Saccharomyces cerevisiae S288C: one gene and its partners. The protein of the gene in region 1 interacts with the protein of each later gene in a biochemical or structural test. Each region holds a gene or a part of one and is shown on either strand. Other genes may lie near its edges.

Region 1 (3,767 bases):
GATCTTTAAGATTAACCAGATTAATTTGAAACAAGGCAAAGTTCAAAACGAAATCGATAATCTGGAAAAGAAAAAGGAGGATTTGGTTACCCAAACTGAAGAAAATAAGAAGCTGCATGAAAAAAATGTACAAGTTTTGGAAAGTGTAGAGAACAAGGAATATCTTCCACAAATTAATGATATTGATAATCAAATATCAAGCTTATTGAACGAAGTGACCATAATCAAGCAGGAAAACGCCAATGAAAAAACTCAACTATCGGCAATTACCAAAAGACTCGAAGATGAGCGCCGCGCTCATGAAGAACAGTTGAAGCTAGAAGCTGAAGAAAGAAAACGCAAAGAAGAGAACTTATTGGAAAAACAGCGCCAAGAGCTGGAGGAACAAGCGCATCAGGCTCAATTAGATCATGAGCAGCAAATTACTCAAGTCAAGCAAACCTATAATGACCAATTGACTGAACTACAGGATAAGCTGGCAACCGAAGAGAAAGAACTGGAGGCAGTCAAGAGGGAAAGAACGCGATTACAAGCTGAAAAGGCTATCGAGGAACAAACTCGCCAGAAAAACGCTGATGAGGCCTTGAAGCAAGAAATATTGAGTAGGCAGCACAAACAAGCTGAAGGTATACACGCGGCTGAAAACCACAAAATACCAAATGACCGTTCACAAAAGAATACGAGCGTCCTTCCAAAGGACGATTCCTTGTATGAATATCATACTGAGGAAGACGTCATGTATGCCTAAAAAAAATAATATTCCACTTTTGTTCAAGGAATATCCCACCTCTATTTTATTTTTCTCTTCTATTCTTTGTCGAGTATCATCAAGTTATCCTTTGATTATTTTCACCCTTCCTAATCTACCTCTCTTTGTAACCGTTTTATGTACCAATATTTACTCAATCAACAATTTATCAACCAGTTAGTTATTCTCTAGTGTTTCGTGCTCAAATAACCGAGTAAGATGGACTCTCTTCTGAAGCACTTTTGCGGGCATTTAACCTCAGCTCGTCACGTGACGGTCGATGAAAAATCCAGGGTATTAAAACTTTCCTTTGGTTATATCGGTATATTCTAAATAAAAGAGAAGCTTATTCTGATCCTTTTGATTCCCTGCTCAATTTTTCATTGAATTGTTTATTTTTGTCATTAATGAAGCTTTCAACCCCATACAGTGTTTTTGCATTTTGCATTTGTCTTTTTCTTGCTTCGTATCTTTTTTTCGACTCAGATTGCAAAGAAACGGCCAACTTATTAACTAGCTTGTCGTCATCTGCAATTGTTATCTTACCCGTCTTAGTGTCCTTCTGTACCTTGCCGATTCTACCCTTCTTGGGTACGTTTTTATTGTCTTCTTCATCGGCGGAACTATCCTGTTTGCTCGAATTCTGTGTTTGCGTAGCGAGATTCCGCAAGGTCTTCTCATAACTCAATTTTGCAAGTTGATCATAGGAAATTCCACCTCTTTGGCTTTGCCCAGTCTTCCCTTGAGGATGCCTACGTTCCCACGCATCATATTCTTGGACAGTGTAATGAAATGCTTTCTCTTTTTCAGGACTTTCTGTATCTCCTACTGATTCATCTGCATCATTTACGTCTTCCATACTGTATACTCTTGGTTTTCGATTTGCGCTTACTTCCTGAATCTCTCTGTCAGCCAACTTCCTACTCTTTATAGATACATCTACTCTTTTCCTTTTCAACTCCTTCAGCTTCTCGTCTAATTTGTAAAAATCCATTCTTCGAATACTTTGACAAGATATGGTTTTGCTTCGCTTACAGTTCAATAGAGAAGTCAAACATTGTCATTGAGAGCCCCTCATCGCAAATATTGCTCTTTTAAGGAAAATATAGTAATATTCTAGCTTTTTTGTCATTCTACACGGAAATGTCTGTATTTTTCAAATTTTTTCATTATGCTGTAGCAGATGCCTGAAAAATTTGAAAACTTTGATGAGATGAGGTCACTGTTAAATTTGTAATATTATATGTCACACCTAGCGCTCCTTGAACAGCAAATCATTCCGGAGGATAGTAAAGATTCAAAATGCCATCCCTGTCTCAACCATTTAGACTAGCAACTCTCCCAAAAATTGCTTCATTGAGCAATTTTTCTTTACAAGCAGATTACGTTCAAGTCGCAGATGGCACCTTTAATGAATCTACAAATAACATAACGTTAGGTATTTCCGGGTCATCTATATCTCAATATATTATTAATCCTACACCAAAGTTAACATTCGATTACCCAATACCCTCTACAAATATTATCACGGCATGCAATGCTGAGAAAGGTCAAGCGAACATTGACGGAAATATAGAAGCCAGTACCGATGATGAAGCCAACAACGAGAAGACTATCAACACCCAAAAAAAAAGAAATGTTGAAATTTGGGCCTTTGGTTTAATGGTAAATAAGGGTAATTATACGCTAAATGTTATCACTAAGGCACTGGAAGATACCACTGATACCTCAAATGACCATCTGAGTGAGAGTGATATTGACAATAAAGCATACACGGGTTCAGACGAATTTTTATCTCAGTATAAGATCAAGGCGAAAGCCAAAGTCATGAGTATTAAAATTGACACCAAGAACAGCTTAGTAATTGCAATTTTACAGAACGGGTTGATTGAAATTTTTGATTTTAAGTTAACACTTTTGCATTCATTTGATATATCTTATGATAACTTAAAATATGCTAAATGGTTCACTGAAAATGGAACTGAATATGTTTTTGTTCTCTGTCCATTACAGGATGATAAAGTCTGCTATAAATTGCTCGAGCTAACAGATTGTGGCAGTGGAGAAAGTTCGCCCATAAAAGAATTATCATCTACTATCATCGAAGGATTTTCTTTTGAAAATTCAAAGCTTTGTTATCAATTTGGAAAACTTTACAAATTGAACCAGGGGAAAATATACATTTACTCTTTACCACATTGCCAATTGCAACAAGTTATTGAATTTCCGATGGTGGATAAACTCAGTCCTGGAGATGACTTAATCTCTTTCCAACCTGTTTCAGTAAACAGAGTTCTACTGACCGTAAACAACGTCATTTATCTACTAGACTTACTGCATTGTTCTACTTTAAGCCAAAGAGAATTAACTCACGTGAAAACATTCCAACTATTAAAATCTGCAGTGATCAATTCAGAAAAGTCGCATAATTCAAAAACAATAGCAATTGGTATTTCAACGAAAAATGGACCAAACCCAACGTCTTCCTTAGAAATAATTAATATTGATGTTGGAACTAATACGTTGAAGGACTCATTAGGCAAGAGTTTTCAAGTTGGAAATAATGATAGCTCAGTTATTTTAAAGCCGCTATTTGATGATAAAGACATAAATGACAAGAGAGTGAAATGTAACGACGTCAGCGGGGATTCAAGCGTTCCAGTCCTCCACTGTAATGAAGTTATTGAAAAGCTTTCAGCCCTTCAAGATAATGACATTACATCATTTGATGACATATTTTTCAAAGAACTAAAAATCAAAGAAGAACATTATACTGAAAAAGATAGATATATTTCTGATCCTGGCTTTTTGAATAAAGTTTTAGATCTAATTTTCGGAAAGTTTAGCGGAAATGATTATCCAAAAACTTTAACGTTTTTATTGACACACCCATTGTTTCCATTGAGTCGTACACGCAACTTGCTATCCTTACTAAGAGACCAACCTAGATTATTTAAACAAGCAATTGTAACATGCCCAAACTTGCCATTAAATGAACTACTTGAAGAATTGTTTTCTA
Region 2 (4,145 bases), on another chromosome or scaffold:
GCTGCTAAGGCCGCTGTCGGTATGGGTGCCGGTGCTCTAGCTGCTGCTGCTATGTTGTTATAAGAAATCTCTGATTTTTTATAATATCTATATGGCTTTTTTCAAAATTTTCGGTTTTACTAGGTAAGTGTTTGATTCTTTTCTTTTCGTTAATATATTTTTACACATAATTTTAAATAATTTTTGTTATTTTGAATAGGTAGATACCATAAAAATAAAACACTTTTTACTTTAACGATGTTCCTGTGATTTCTCTTCGAATGAGTCAAAAATTTGAACTCGAAATGAATGTATTAGAGACTGGGTTTCTTCGAGTTTGCTGAGATCTTGGCTATGCACAATGTTTCCTGCGCCCCTAAGGTGAAAAAAACATGCATGCTTGTTTCAACAGACCAGTGTGCATAAAGAATTTCGCCCTTAGCTGCGATTAAAGAGTCAAGGCGTGAAAAACATAGGCGAAAGTGCTGACCGTTCTTCCCTTTATCTTTTTACCATCTTCGTTATCTGTTACCTGTTCAAAAGAAAGTGGGAAAGATATTGGTGTGCTACGGTGGGATCTTTTTTTTCTGCCATTTTCTATACTTTACTTCCACTTATAAAATATTTTACAAATTCAAGGGAGACGTGTGACAAAATAATAATCTAGAACTCAATGAACTTTTGTCCTCACTACAATTGCCCCTCGGATGGATTTGAACTTACAAGAAATATCACGTTGGCGCGCGCTAAAGTCGCTTGCCAATGCGCTATGAAATTTTCATGACCTGGCACATTTTAGCACAGTGCCATTAATCCCTTTATTATGGGCATTGATGCGACTTTAAAACTGTACCTTCCTTCGCACATGCTGAATTTTCTTAATGAGATTCATCTACGATGCTTTAGAGCTAGCCTTGTTTTCTTTTTTATGCTTCAAGAGTAAGTAGTGAAGAACCCCACTAGACAAATACTAAGGGATGCTGCAACCACGTCTTATACTTCACCCATACATAACATTGGAATCTCATTAATTTTTGCAAAGATATGGTGAACAAGTTTCAAAATAAGAATGTATGTGTACCGAATCGTAGCTCGAGGTAATAATGAAAAAAAAAATCGGACATCTGGAAAGTTACGAATATAGAAGCAGATACCCCTCTTGACGGCAAACATTGTGTGCTCGACCTTCTATCCCGTTAAAATATCATAATAAACAAACCCCTCCCGCGAAAACAAAAAAAGAGAGCTAAAAAAAGTACTTCTTCGCGTTATAGATGGTGCCGCACCGTACGTCATAACTAAAAATAGCGTTAGCCACAGCTCCCTGAACGAAAAGGGCCCTTCGGCCCGATTGGAATACGGGTCCGCTTACGTCTGTGCGTGCGGGTTGTCCCACAACGGTAACTTACTCCAGGAGAGCCATCTCGAAGGTGCCACAAAAGAAAACAAAAAAAACAACAAACAATAAGCTCTGTGGTTCACGTTCAATGTAGTGTTTTTTCACCTTTTAATTTTGATAATTTGTGGTGCAGAAAAAAAAAAAGCAAACAAACAAAATCTCAATTATTTAAAGGACGATCTTAACGTTTCTTTCTTTCGCTATCTTCCTTGAATTTTTTTTCTGTCTGAAGTAAAATATCCCGTAACAAACTAATAAATACTACGAAAGTCTCAAAAAACAATAATGAAATTCTCCACTGCTTTGTCTGTCGCTTTATTCGCCTTGGCTAAGATGGTCATTGCCGATTCCGAAGAATTCGGCCTGGTGAGTATCCGTTCCGGCTCGGATTTACAATACTTGAGTGTTTACAGTGATAACGGCACTTTGAAACTTGGCAGCGGTAGTGGCTCATTTGAGGCAACTATTACCGATGACGGTAAACTGAAATTTGACGACGATAAGTATGCTGTTGTCAATGAGGATGGCTCATTCAAAGAAGGTTCTGAGAGCGATGCTGCCACTGGTTTTTCTATTAAAGATGGCCATCTAAACTACAAGAGCTCTTCTGGTTTCTACGCTATCAAGGACGGGTCGTCTTACATTTTCTCTTCTAAGCAATCCGACGACGCTACCGGTGTTGCGATTAGACCAACTAGTAAGAGCGGATCTGTTGCAGCAGATTTTTCTCCAAGCGACTCTAGTTCCTCTTCATCTGCTTCTGCTTCGTCTGCTTCCGCATCATCTTCTACAAAGCATAGTTCGAGTATAGAATCTGTCGAGACCTCTACTACTGTGGAAACTTCCTCTGCTAGCTCCCCAACTGCTTCAGTTATCTCTCAAATTACTGATGGACAAATCCAAGCTCCAAACACAGTTTACGAACAAACAGAAAATGCAGGTGCCAAGGCTGCCGTCGGCATGGGTGCTGGTGCTCTAGCGGTCGCAGCTGCTTACTTGTTGTAAGTACGAGAACAAAACCTGCATGTTTTATTTCCTTCAATATAGCTTTCTACATAATGATCACTTACATATAGCGTAATGTAATATGAAATGGCCCATAATATTCTCTTACATTGTCCTCCTACCTACATTCCTTTTCTTGCATGCAGCTCTCACATTCCCCGATTCGCTTGAAAAATTTAAACTTGTAGAAAAGTAGGTGAATGTCCCGCCGGCGGTTTCTCTGCTGCATGTAGAAAGATGGATATACAGAAAAGGAGATAAGAGTAGCTATCTCAAGTTTGTTCCACTGACTGCTAATACGCATAGAGTTGTTATTTATTGTACATATTCGAAAAAAAGCAAGAAATCACTACGGTGACCTCAGTAGAACGAACTAATAAGTCAAACCAAATTAACCGTTTCCAGGCTGATAGGAGAATACAAGAATGTCTGAAAGAAAAGCTATTAACAAGTACTATCCACCGGATTACAACCCACTGGAAGCTGAAAAGCTATCCAGGAAAATGGCTAAAAAACTGAAAACCATGAATAAGAGCCACGCATCGATTAGATTAATGACCCCATTTAGTATGAGGTGTTTGGAATGTAACGAATATATTCCCAAAAGCAGAAAATTCAATGGTAAGAAAGAGCTACTGAAGGAGAAGTACCTGGACTCCATTAAGATATATAGACTAACCATTTCATGTCCACGTTGTGCCAATTCCATTGCATTTAGAACAGACCCCGGTAATTCAGATTATGTAATGGAAGTGGGGGGCGTAAGAAACTATGTCCCTCAGAAACCAAATGATGACCTGAACGCTAAAACAGCTGTCGAAAGCATAGACGAGACACTGCAACGCTTAGTGAGAGAGAAGGAAATGGAGCAGAACGAGAAGATGGGTATAAAGGAGCAAGCAGATGACAAAATGGATTTGCTGGAAAAAAGACTAGCCAAAATTCAACAAGAGCAAGAGGATGATGAGGAACTTGAAAATTTAAGGAAAAAAAACCTTGAAATGAGCCAGAGAGCTGAAATGATAAACCGCAGCAAACACGCACAACAAGAAAAAGCAGTAACGACTGATGATCTGGACAACCTCGTAGATCAGGTATTTGACAATCACAGGCAGCGTACCAATAAACCTGGCAATAACAACGATGAGAAGAGAACTCCGTTGTTTAATCCTACATCCACTAAGGGAAAAATACAGAAGAAAAGCTCTGTGCGTACGAATCCGTTAGGGATAGTTATAAAACGAGGAAAGTCTCTCAAATGACCTAGAAAAGTAAGGAACGTACGATTGGTATCATGATCTCTTGTGATGCTGTGCTACTGTGGTTGCTTCCACACTATAGCGTCCATCGCTACTTACGAGGGGCGACAGCCCCTTCGGACTTCGAAGTGTCTGGCCGTTTTTTCATTGAATTTTCTTATAAATGAATACATATCGGAAAAGCCATTGTTGACTAAAGCAAGCCAAAGCCACACAAACCGAGGACAAATAGAAAAGCATGGCTCCGTATCCATACAAAGTGCAGACGACAGTACCTGAACTTCAATACGAAAACTTTGATGGTGCTAAGTTCGGGTACATGTTCTGGCCTGTTCAAAATGGCACCAATGAGGTCAGAGGTAGAGTTTTACTGATTCATGGGTTTGGCGAGTACACAAAGATTCAATTCCGGCTTATGGACCACTTATCACTCAATGGTTACGAGTCATTTACGTTTGATCAAAGGGGTGCTGGTGTTACATCGCCGGGCAGATCGAAAGGTG
Region 3 (5,511 bases), on another chromosome or scaffold:
GTTCTGACTATCCGAGAAGCGCACAGCAACATAACACCACCTTCTTTTAGTCTTTTAGCGAAAAAGTAGGAAGGCTCTGCACTCCATCGTTTTTACCATTCCTACACGTTATAAGGACTCAGACAGGCGGCGTAGTTAAAATAAATTAACACCGAGTCTTGAACATGTAATTTCTTTAGGTTCATTGAAGAGATAATTATAACTTTCCTGCCCACAAGTCCTCTGATTTACATTCGAACGAGGCTCATTAACGTAGTGAAAACTGTTCATAACGCAATCTCTTATGAAAACCATGCGGTGAATTCCTTTTGACAGGTTCTCTATGATACTATCGACGCCTCTCAAATATCAATGCGTATTACTGCATCAGCAAAGCTCCGTCATCTACATCTAGGCCGGGGCATCTTTCGCAGCGAAATCTTTACGGTGGCAAAAAATAAAGAAAAGTGAATATTGAACACCAATTACAAGAAAAGGGAGCACCTGTCAATCGAATAAAAAAGAACAAACTTCGGGCACGTCTTTTAAATAGGTTCATATACAATACTAAGAAAGATATATTAAGAAATGGATATTATTCTGGGCATCCGTGTACAGGATTCTGTCATTCTAGCGTCTTCTAAGGCAGTCACAAGAGGTATTTCTGTTTTAAAAGATTCTGATGATAAAACGAGACAATTATCGCCACATACATTGATGAGTTTTGCCGGTGAAGCTGGTGACACCGTTCAATTCGCCGAGTACATTCAAGCCAATATCCAATTATACTCCATTAGAGAAGATTATGAGCTCTCTCCACAAGCAGTATCTAGTTTTGTTAGGCAAGAATTAGCCAAGTCAATTAGGTCGAGAAGACCATACCAAGTCAACGTATTGATTGGAGGCTATGACAAAAAGAAGAACAAACCGGAACTATATCAAATTGACTACTTGGGTACTAAAGTCGAATTACCCTATGGTGCTCATGGTTACTCGGGGTTTTACACATTCTCTTTACTAGATCATCATTATAGACCTGATATGACTACTGAGGAGGGTTTAGATTTATTAAAACTATGTGTACAAGAGCTTGAAAAAAGAATGCCAATGGACTTCAAGGGCGTCATTGTTAAAATCGTGGATAAAGATGGCATAAGACAAGTAGATGACTTCCAGGCACAGTGAAAGATATTCAGTGTAATCACACGGAAAAGGTGATTGCTAATGATATACTAAAGTAATTATCTTCCTCGTTCATAAAATTAAATAAAGTTATTATAGTTTTTTCATCCGTTATAATAGCAAATGTATCAGAAATAAGACAATTTCTCATTTTTTGTTGGCAGAGTGAGATATCATCTGATCTATTGCAAATGAATCCCAATCAATGCTGATACCGCTTCGTTATAACCAATTCGAAAAGTTGTAATTATGTTACCCGCATGAGAATATTTTGAAGAAGCAATGTAGGGCTACGATAGTACTTTTGAGATGGTTTATTACTTGTTCAAATGCTGTCATCTCATGTTGTTAATGCGCTATATTTCGCACTACGAAGCTAATTTTCAACATAGGTAACACAAAGATATTAGAGATGTCTGATATATCGAAACTCATAGGAGCTATTGTGGGATCTGATGACCCCGTTATCATTGAATTTGTGCTGAATATCATAAATAAATCCGGCAATTTACAAGAGTTTATACGAAATATTCAAAAATTGGATGCCGGTATATCCTACGAAGACAGTATTAAGATGTATAATGCATTTTTAGGAAAGCAGGAAGAAGAAAAGGTACGAAATAAAGTTAAAAGTTCACCGTTAAGTCAAAAAATTAATCAGGTACTGAAAGATGACGTTAATTTGGACGACCCTGTTGTGACTGAATTCGTCCTGAGCATTTTGAATAAATCTAAATCAATAACTGAGTTCCAGGAACAACTGAACTTGATGCAAAGCGGACTCGATAATGAAACAATTTTCAAGATATATCAAATTGCATCACCACCAGTAATGAAAGAAGAAGTCTCAGTTCTTCCAAGCACCAAGATACCAGCAAAGATAGAAGCAAAGATTGAAGAAGAGGTACAAAAAATAGAAAGTTTAGACCCCAGCCCTGTCCTTCACAAAGTTTATGAAGGTAAAGTGAGAAACATAACTACTTTTGGGTGTTTCGTCCAAATTTTTGGGACGCGAATGAAGAATTGTGATGGCTTAGTTCATATTTCAGAAATGTCAGACCAAAGAACATTAGATCCACATGATGTGGTGAGACAAGGCCAACATATCTTTGTCGAAGTGATAAAAATACAAAATAATGGAAAAATATCGCTCTCCATGAAAAATATTGATCAACATAGTGGAGAAATCCGGAAAAGAAATACTGAAAGTGTCGAAGATAGAGGTAGGTCCAACGATGCTCATACAAGCAGAAATATGAAAAACAAAATTAAAAGGCGTGCTTTGACTTCACCAGAAAGATGGGAAATTCGCCAACTAATTGCCAGCGGTGCTGCTTCCATCGATGACTATCCTGAATTGAAGGATGAAATACCCATAAATACTTCCTATTTGACCGCGAAAAGAGATGACGGCAGTATCGTTAACGGTAATACAGAGAAAGTGGACTCAAAATTGGAAGAACAACAACGAGACGAGACGGATGAAATTGATGTCGAGCTGAATACAGATGATGGGCCCAAATTTTTAAAGGATCAGCAAGTCAAGGGGGCCAAGAAATATGAAATGCCTAAAATTACAAAAGTCCCGAGAGGATTTATGAATCGTTCAGCAATCAACGGCTCTAATGCAATACGAGATCATAGAGAAGAAAAGTTAAGGAAAAAAAGAGAGATTGAACAACAGATTAGGAAACAACAGTCGTTTGATGATCCTACGAAAAACAAAAAAGATTCCAGGAACGAAATTCAAATGTTGAAAAACCAGCTGATTGTTACTGAATGGGAAAAAAATAGAATGAATGAATCTATCTCGTATGGCAAAAGAACTTCCTTACCAATCAGTGCACAGCGTCAAACTTTGCCTGTATACGCGATGAGGTCTGAATTGATACAGGCTGTGCGTGACAATCAATTTCTGGTCATTGTTGGTGAGACAGGTTCGGGTAAAACCACTCAAATTACTCAGTATTTAGATGAAGAAGGGTTTAGTAACTATGGGATGATCGGATGTACCCAACCTCGTAGGGTTGCCGCTGTATCCGTTGCTAAAAGAGTGGCTGAAGAAGTTGGCTGCAAAGTTGGCCATGACGTTGGCTATACCATTAGATTTGAAGATGTTACTGGCCCAGATACCAGAATAAAATATATGACTGATGGTATGTTACAGAGAGAGGCGTTGTTAGATCCCGAGATGTCAAAATATTCAGTTATCATGTTAGATGAAGCTCACGAAAGAACTGTGGCAACTGATGTTTTATTTGCGTTGTTAAAGAAAGCGGCTATTAAAAGGCCAGAATTAAAAGTAATAGTTACATCGGCTACTTTGAACTCTGCTAAATTTTCTGAGTACTTTTTAAATTGTCCGATTATCAATATACCTGGTAAAACTTTTCCCGTGGAAGTACTCTACTCACAGACGCCCCAAATGGATTACATAGAGGCAGCTTTGGATTGTGTAATAGACATCCATATTAATGAAGGCCCAGGCGATATTTTAGTCTTTTTGACTGGACAGGAAGAAATAGACTCATGCTGTGAAATTTTATATGATAGGGTGAAAACTTTAGGTGACAGCATCGGCGAATTACTGATTTTGCCCGTTTATTCTGCTTTGCCAAGTGAAATCCAATCGAAAATTTTTGAACCCACTCCAAAGGGCAGTCGAAAAGTCGTATTTGCCACAAATATTGCGGAAACTTCAATCACTATTGATGGAATTTATTATGTCGTGGACCCTGGATTTGCAAAAATCAACATTTATAATGCAAGAGCAGGTATCGAGCAGTTGATAGTGTCTCCAATCTCTCAGGCACAGGCAAATCAAAGAAAAGGTAGAGCTGGAAGAACAGGCCCTGGAAAATGCTATCGACTTTATACAGAATCCGCATTTTACAATGAAATGTTAGAAAACACGGTTCCAGAAATTCAAAGGCAGAATCTTTCTCATACTATTTTGATGCTAAAGGCCATGGGAATTAATGATTTATTGAAATTTGACTTCATGGATCCCCCTCCCAAAAATTTAATGCTTAACGCACTGACAGAATTATACCACCTGCAGTCACTAGATGACGAGGGAAAACTAACAAATTTAGGTAAAGAGATGTCCTTATTTCCAATGGATCCCACTCTATCACGCTCTTTATTGTCATCTGTTGATAATCAGTGCTCGGATGAAATTGTTACTATAATCTCAATGTTGTCAGTACAGAACGTTTTTTATCGTCCAAAAGATAGGCAATTGGAAGCAGATAGCAAGAAGGCAAAGTTTCATCATCCATACGGTGACCATTTAACATTATTGAACGTTTATACTAGATGGCAGCAGGCAAATTACTCGGAGCAGTATTGCAAAACAAACTTTCTGCATTTTAGACATTTGAAAAGAGCAAGAGATGTTAAAAGCCAAATTAGCATGATATTTAAAAAGATAGGCTTAAAGTTAATAAGCTGTCATAGTGATCCTGATTTAATTCGTAAAACTTTCGTGTCAGGGTTCTTCATGAACGCTGCTAAGCGAGACTCACAGGTAGGTTATAAAACCATCAATGGTGGTACAGAGGTTGGAATACATCCCTCGAGTTCATTGTACGGAAAAGAGTATGAATACGTAATGTATCATAGTATCGTATTAACTAGCCGGGAATACATGTCGCAGGTAACATCCATTGAGCCCCAATGGCTTCTCGAAGTAGCGCCTCATTTTTATAAAGCTGGAGATGCTGAAAGCCAGTCTAGGAAGAAAGCGAAAATCATTCCTTTGCATAACAAGTTTGCCAAGGATCAAAATTCATGGAGACTAAGCTCAATAAGGCAGTCAAGGGAAAGGGCATTAGGTATCAAGAGGTAACATTGTTAGCTTTTTATGCATTATAATTATCGAGTTTTATAGACCTATATTTAATTTTTTAACAACTTTATCTCTCTTGAGAATTTTTACATGAAAAAAATCACAGAGTAACGCTAACCTTTCTTTAATTGAAAGCTGCCATTGCTCGTTTAGTTACAAAACGCCTTTGAACTTGCCTTCGACACTTTGTTGCTTCGGAGTCGCGGAGTATTCAAAAAAAGAAATAGTATAATAGAGAGAACAATAGAGATATTCGCGAAGAACACCAATTCAAACATATCGAGTAAAGTGCAATTGAGAACGCCAAAAAGAGCTTGTATAATGTTATTACCATTAACAAAGCTAAAACCGAGAGCAAAAGTTGCTGTTGTAGGGGGTGGCGTTTCTGGACTATGTTTTACTTATTTTTTAAGCAAGTTGAGACCGGATGTTGAAATCACACTGTTCGAATCGCAGAACAGAACTGGGGGTTGGATATATTCTTGTAACACAAGAGATAT
Region 4 (4,934 bases), on another chromosome or scaffold:
CTTGAACTTAAAGAATGTAAATCTTCATTTGCGTCTTTAAAGTCATCGTTTTGATTTTCACCAGTTGCTGTTTTTTGCAAAAAGGATTTTCTATTTCCAATGCTACTGCGATCAGAAAGACTAGATATTGGTGCAAGTCGCAGAGAATTTGATCTAGCAACGTCGATTTTATCCAAGCCAACAATATTCTCCTCATCAGGATCTTTGATTTTATTCGCGTCATCTGAAAAAGTTTTCAATTCATTTAATAAAAATGTGATATTAGTGACACGAGATTTCACTGATTGAGAACCCCGAAAAGAGCCATCTCTTTTCATATTATTTGGAATATTCTTTTCATTCATAGTTTTTTTCAAATCGCTAACTTTTGGTGCGGTGGCTCTCATTGTTTTCCATGATCTTGCGTCCTCAGCAACAAACCTATAGATACTACCTTTTGCATTAGCATCAGAAATTACAGTATCGTTAGCTTCTTCTATATTGTCATCTATGCTGTTGTCGAATTTATTTTGCTTGGCCGCAAAATCGTTGTTATCATACACTGCTTTCCCATTTGAAAAAATAGCATTAGGGACATTCTTGTACTCCAGAGGTGTAGTACGAACTTGAGAGTCCGACAGTAAATCAGAAGTAGAAATTTGATTATCACGAGACAATAAAATCTGCGCCCCCTTCTTGCTGTATTTATTTGATCCAGTATCAGAATAGTATGACAATAAATCTTCCTTGGTAAACAAAGTTCTAGTTTGCATTTTGTACTCAGTTTGTGACTTGTAGTCATTGAGTTTTAAAAAGTTAGCTGCTTGTAAATGGTACGAATAATAGGTATACTCAGGCTCAGAAACGTTCTCTAGAAAATAATTCAAACCGGATAATAGTGCCATTTTTCCATACTTGTCAAAGATCTCTTCCATCATTTCTTTTTGCACACCATGTGAATCCAGTTCACGTAATAATGAGTACAGTTTTGAAAAGAGAATGCTGCTTGGAACCTCAGTTTCAACAATGTTAAATAAACATATAATGTGGTTTTTCATGTAATGCGCCAAGTCGATGAATAATTCCAAACTGATACTTGGCTGCGTAATATGTTCAACGAGGAAATCAATATCTTCCACAACTGCATTCTTTTCAACATCCTTGACGGTGTCACTTTTCAATTTCAATAGTAGTTCATATAACATATCTGAGGTCTGTTCAGCGTAATAAGTTTTATGGTTAAGGTCTGTCATGGTGATACAAGACTGTGCCACAACTTCTTTATTAGTTGCATTTTTCAACTGGAAATTTAAAAGCTTTCTCATTATATCAAGAACACTCAACCCCACTATACTGACATCTGAAACAAGTAATGACGACATCAATTTCAAGGAAACAATTGGATTTACATTTTTATCCTTGTCGCTTAGTTGTCTGACCAAAAGAAGTATAACAATATATCGTAACTGAACAGGTATACCATTGCATACAAACTCTAGCAGTTCCTTATTAGGTGTACTTTGCAGACAGCGCAACAGAGTACGAATAGACAAATTCAATTTGTCTGTCTCAGTTGTGTTAAAATAGGATTGCAATGCTTTTACTGAAAGGTCATGATTATCTTCGGCGGCCTTATCTAACCCAATTGTACGAGTTTGTGTTCGACTTAGCCTTTTTCCTAAATTGCTCTCCAGAGCTGCTTCCAGCGACAAAGTTTTAAATTTCGGATTTCTCTCTTGGAACTTTGAAATAGTATAGGCAACAGACTTGGAAACAAAGTGGTTTAGTTGTGGGTTGCTTGAAACACTATTTGTGTTTGATATATCAATACAGCATTTCAGAAGCATGTCATCATTATGAATTCTTTCAGTAACTATTTTAAAAAAAAGATCAACAAAGTTCTGGTATAACTGGACGAATTCCATGTCACCGTTACACAAGACGTCGTCCAAGTTCTGGCATATACTACTAAATGCCAGTTCTATTAATTCAACAACAGATACATCATTGTTAAAATTGTTGTTGGAAAGAACTTTGTTCATAATGTACAAAAAATCTTTAACAAATACATTCAAATTCTCCTTACAATGCAACACAATTTTGTTCATTAAATCCAATGTAACGGCTATGTTCCCTATGCGCCGATGGTTCAAGTCGGAAGTGGAACGCTTAATCAGGTAAGTGCTAACTTTCTCCAATTTACTACGCCTCGAGTTAACGTAATATAGCAAATATGAAGTTTCCGAAGATTTAGGCTTCTTATCTGTGGTCCTTCCCGTAGGATAACATTGATTGACCAGTTTCTGATGTTTTGGTGTGAACATCATCCGCATAGACAACTGCATCGCAAACCACTTTCAGAACAATTGAAAATGAACGAAAGATGAATAATAGAGCGAATGATCTGGGTTCAATATACAGTCTGCCACTGAATTAATACTACTCCAATAGCGGGGTTGCTCACAATACTTTCAATTTATCCTGGCTGCCTGGCTTTTTCAACAAAACCATTACCTTCCTAGTAGTTCGAACAAAATTTTCTTCCTCTTCCTTTGGCCGGGGTTGAAGTTTAATGAAAAATTAATGCTATGAACTATTATGACAAAAAAGCATATGCGACTCAGGAAGATAGTAAAGAAAAAAAGCAAAACATTTCTAAGAGGACTATACTAGCATTTCAAGATGCCCCCCGTACCAATATACGTGAAAGGCGGTGTATGGACCAATGTGGAGGATCAGATTCTTAAAGCGGCTGTACAAAAATACGGAACTCATCAGTGGAGCAAAGTAGCATCCCTTTTGCAGAAAAAGACTGCCAGGCAGAGTGAATTAAGGTGGAATGAATATTTAAATCCAAAGTTGAATTTTACAGAGTTCTCGAAGGAGGAGGATGCCCAACTTCTAGATCTTGCAAGAGAGCTGCCTAATCAGTGGAGGACCATAGCTGATATGATGGCCAGGCCTGCACAGGTCTGCGTCGAAAGATATAATAGGCTATTAGAAAGTGAAGACAGTGGAGGGGCTGCGTTAAGTACAGGAGTTACTGACTTGAAAGCCGGGGATATTAATCCTAACGCTGAAACTCAAATGGCTAGACCAGATAATGGTGATTTGGAAGATGAGGAAAAGGAAATGCTTGCTGAAGCTAGGGCTCGTCTGTTAAATACCCAAGGTAAGAAGGCTACAAGAAAGATTAGAGAGCGGATGCTCGAAGAATCAAAACGCATTGCTGAACTACAAAAGAGGCGTGAGCTAAAGCAAGCAGGAATTAATGTTGCCATTAAGAAACCGAAAAAAAAATACGGCACCGACATTGATTACAATGAAGATATAGTATATGAACAAGCTCCCATGCCAGGTATATATGACACGTCCACTGAAGACCGCCAGATAAAAAAGAAGTTTGAGCAGTTTGAGAGAAAAGTCAACAGAAAAGGTTTGGATGGTAATAAGGATAAGCCAAGTAAAAAAAATAAGGACAAAAAAAGAAAACACGATGAGAACGAACACGTTGAGAAAGCAGCACTGGGTGAATCTACTACATTGACGGATGAGTATAAAAAACCAAAACTTATACTATCTGCACCAGGAACGAAACAGGGAAAAGTCACCTATAAAAAAAAGCTAGAAAGCAAAAGACAAAAACTAATCGAGGCACAAGCAACTGGCACTGTGTTGACACCAAAAGAACTACTACCCCACGACTCCGGCCAAGAAGATAATGAACGCAGTAATATAAAGAGTGGTAAACAGCTAAAATCACGCATACGAAAATTTTTAGTGCAAATGTTCGCATCTTTGCCTAGTCCCAAGAACGATTTCGAAATTGTATTAAGTGAAGACGAGAAAGAAGAAGATGCAGAGATAGCGGAATACGAGAAAGAATTTGAAAATGAAAGAGCGATGAATGAAGAGGACAACTTCATAGAACCACCATCTCAAAATGATGCGCCACGCGTCTCATTAGTAGCCGTTCCATTAGCTTACTCAACGCTACCCATACCAGAATTCAAAAACAATCCGCAGTCCGCGATTGACAATAAGTACAACTTGCTAGTCGCGAACGCCATAAACAAAGAACCTCACATGGTACCAGAAGATACGGTAGATTTTCTCAAAGAGGTGGAGTCGCGTATGCAGCATATAACCCAAGGGCGCACTTCCATGAAAATACAATTCAAAACAGCAATGCCCCCAACTGAGGTTCTTCTGGAATCGATCCAATCAAAAGTGGAGTCTATTGAACAGTTACAGCGTAAACTACAACATGTGCAACCACTGGAACAACAGAATAACGAGATGTGCAGTACCCTCTGCCATCACAGCCTGCCCGCTTTGATTGAAGGGCAACGCAAGTACTACGCTGATTACTACGCCTACCGACAAGAGATACGATCGCTTGAGGGTCGTAGAAAGCGTCTTCAAGCCATGCTAAATTCTTCTTCTTCCATATAGCATTAGTATAGCATTAATATAACTTTTATGAACTAGGACATAGAGGACTTGTGACAACGCATTACCCGGAGTTAGAACGTTTTCTTGCCAAGTTGGCCACATCGGCAAACCAGCGATGGTAATAAGATGTAGTACTGACAAAACATGGTGGATAGGCCAGAAGAGCGTGCATTGGCTGGCGAAAAGATCGAGGACAATGATTCCAAAATTATATATACATTTGATACTATCTTTATTGTTGTTGCCGCTAATTTTGGCGCAGGATTATTATGCAATACTAGAGATAGACAAAGATGCCACTGAGAAGGAAATCAAATCAGCGTACAGACAATTGTCTAAGAAGTACCATCCGGATAAAAATGCTGGGAGCGAAGAAGCCCATCAAAAATTCATTGAAGTCGGCGAGGCATACGATGTATTGAGCGATCCTGAAAAGAAAAAGATTTATGACCAGTTTGGTGCAGATGCTGTAAAGAATGGCGGTGGCGGTGGCGGTCCAG

The links.
Region 2: the proteins of SYF2 (region 1) and YJU2 form a complex in vitro, tested with the Saccharomyces cerevisiae proteins (one study listed by BioGRID).
Region 3: the proteins of SYF2 (region 1) and PRP22 form a complex in vitro, tested with the Saccharomyces cerevisiae proteins (one study listed by BioGRID).
Region 4: the proteins of SYF2 (region 1) and CEF1 form a complex in vitro, tested with the Saccharomyces cerevisiae proteins (one study listed by BioGRID).

What each region holds. Positions count from the first base shown.
Region 1 is NC_001139.9:748,375-752,141, reverse strand, and holds SYF2 (Syf2p), read right to left. Parts: upstream 1,743-3,767; coding exon 1,095-1,742; downstream 1-1,094. Other genes in the region: YGR130C (uncharacterized protein), read left to right, coding at 1-748; UTP8 (Utp8p), read left to right, coding at 2,051-3,767.
Region 2 is NC_001143.9:259,469-263,613, forward strand, and holds YJU2 (mRNA splicing protein YJU2), read left to right. Parts: upstream 1-2,808; coding exon 2,809-3,645; downstream 3,646-4,145. Other genes in the region: CWP2 (Cwp2p), read left to right, coding at 1-63; CWP1 (Cwp1p), read left to right, coding at 1,664-2,383; YJU3 (acylglycerol lipase), read left to right, coding at 3,881-4,145. UniProt on the Saccharomyces cerevisiae protein: Part of the spliceosome which catalyzes two sequential transesterification reactions, first the excision of the non-coding intron from pre-mRNA and then the ligation of the coding exons to form the mature mRNA.
Region 3 is NC_001137.3:177,268-182,778, forward strand, and holds PRP22 (DEAH-box ATP-dependent RNA helicase PRP22), read left to right. Parts: upstream 1-1,573; coding exon 1,574-5,011; downstream 5,012-5,511. Other genes in the region: PRE1 (proteasome core particle subunit beta 4), read left to right, coding at 568-1,164; HEM14 (oxygen-dependent protoporphyrinogen oxidase), read left to right, coding at 5,333-5,511.
Region 4 is NC_001145.3:690,720-695,653, forward strand, and holds CEF1 (Cef1p), read left to right. Parts: upstream 1-2,661; coding exon 2,662-4,434; downstream 4,435-4,934. Other genes in the region: EFR3 (Efr3p), read right to left, coding at 1-2,324; SCJ1 (Scj1p), read left to right, coding at 4,631-4,934. UniProt on the Saccharomyces cerevisiae protein: Involved in pre-mRNA splicing and cell cycle control.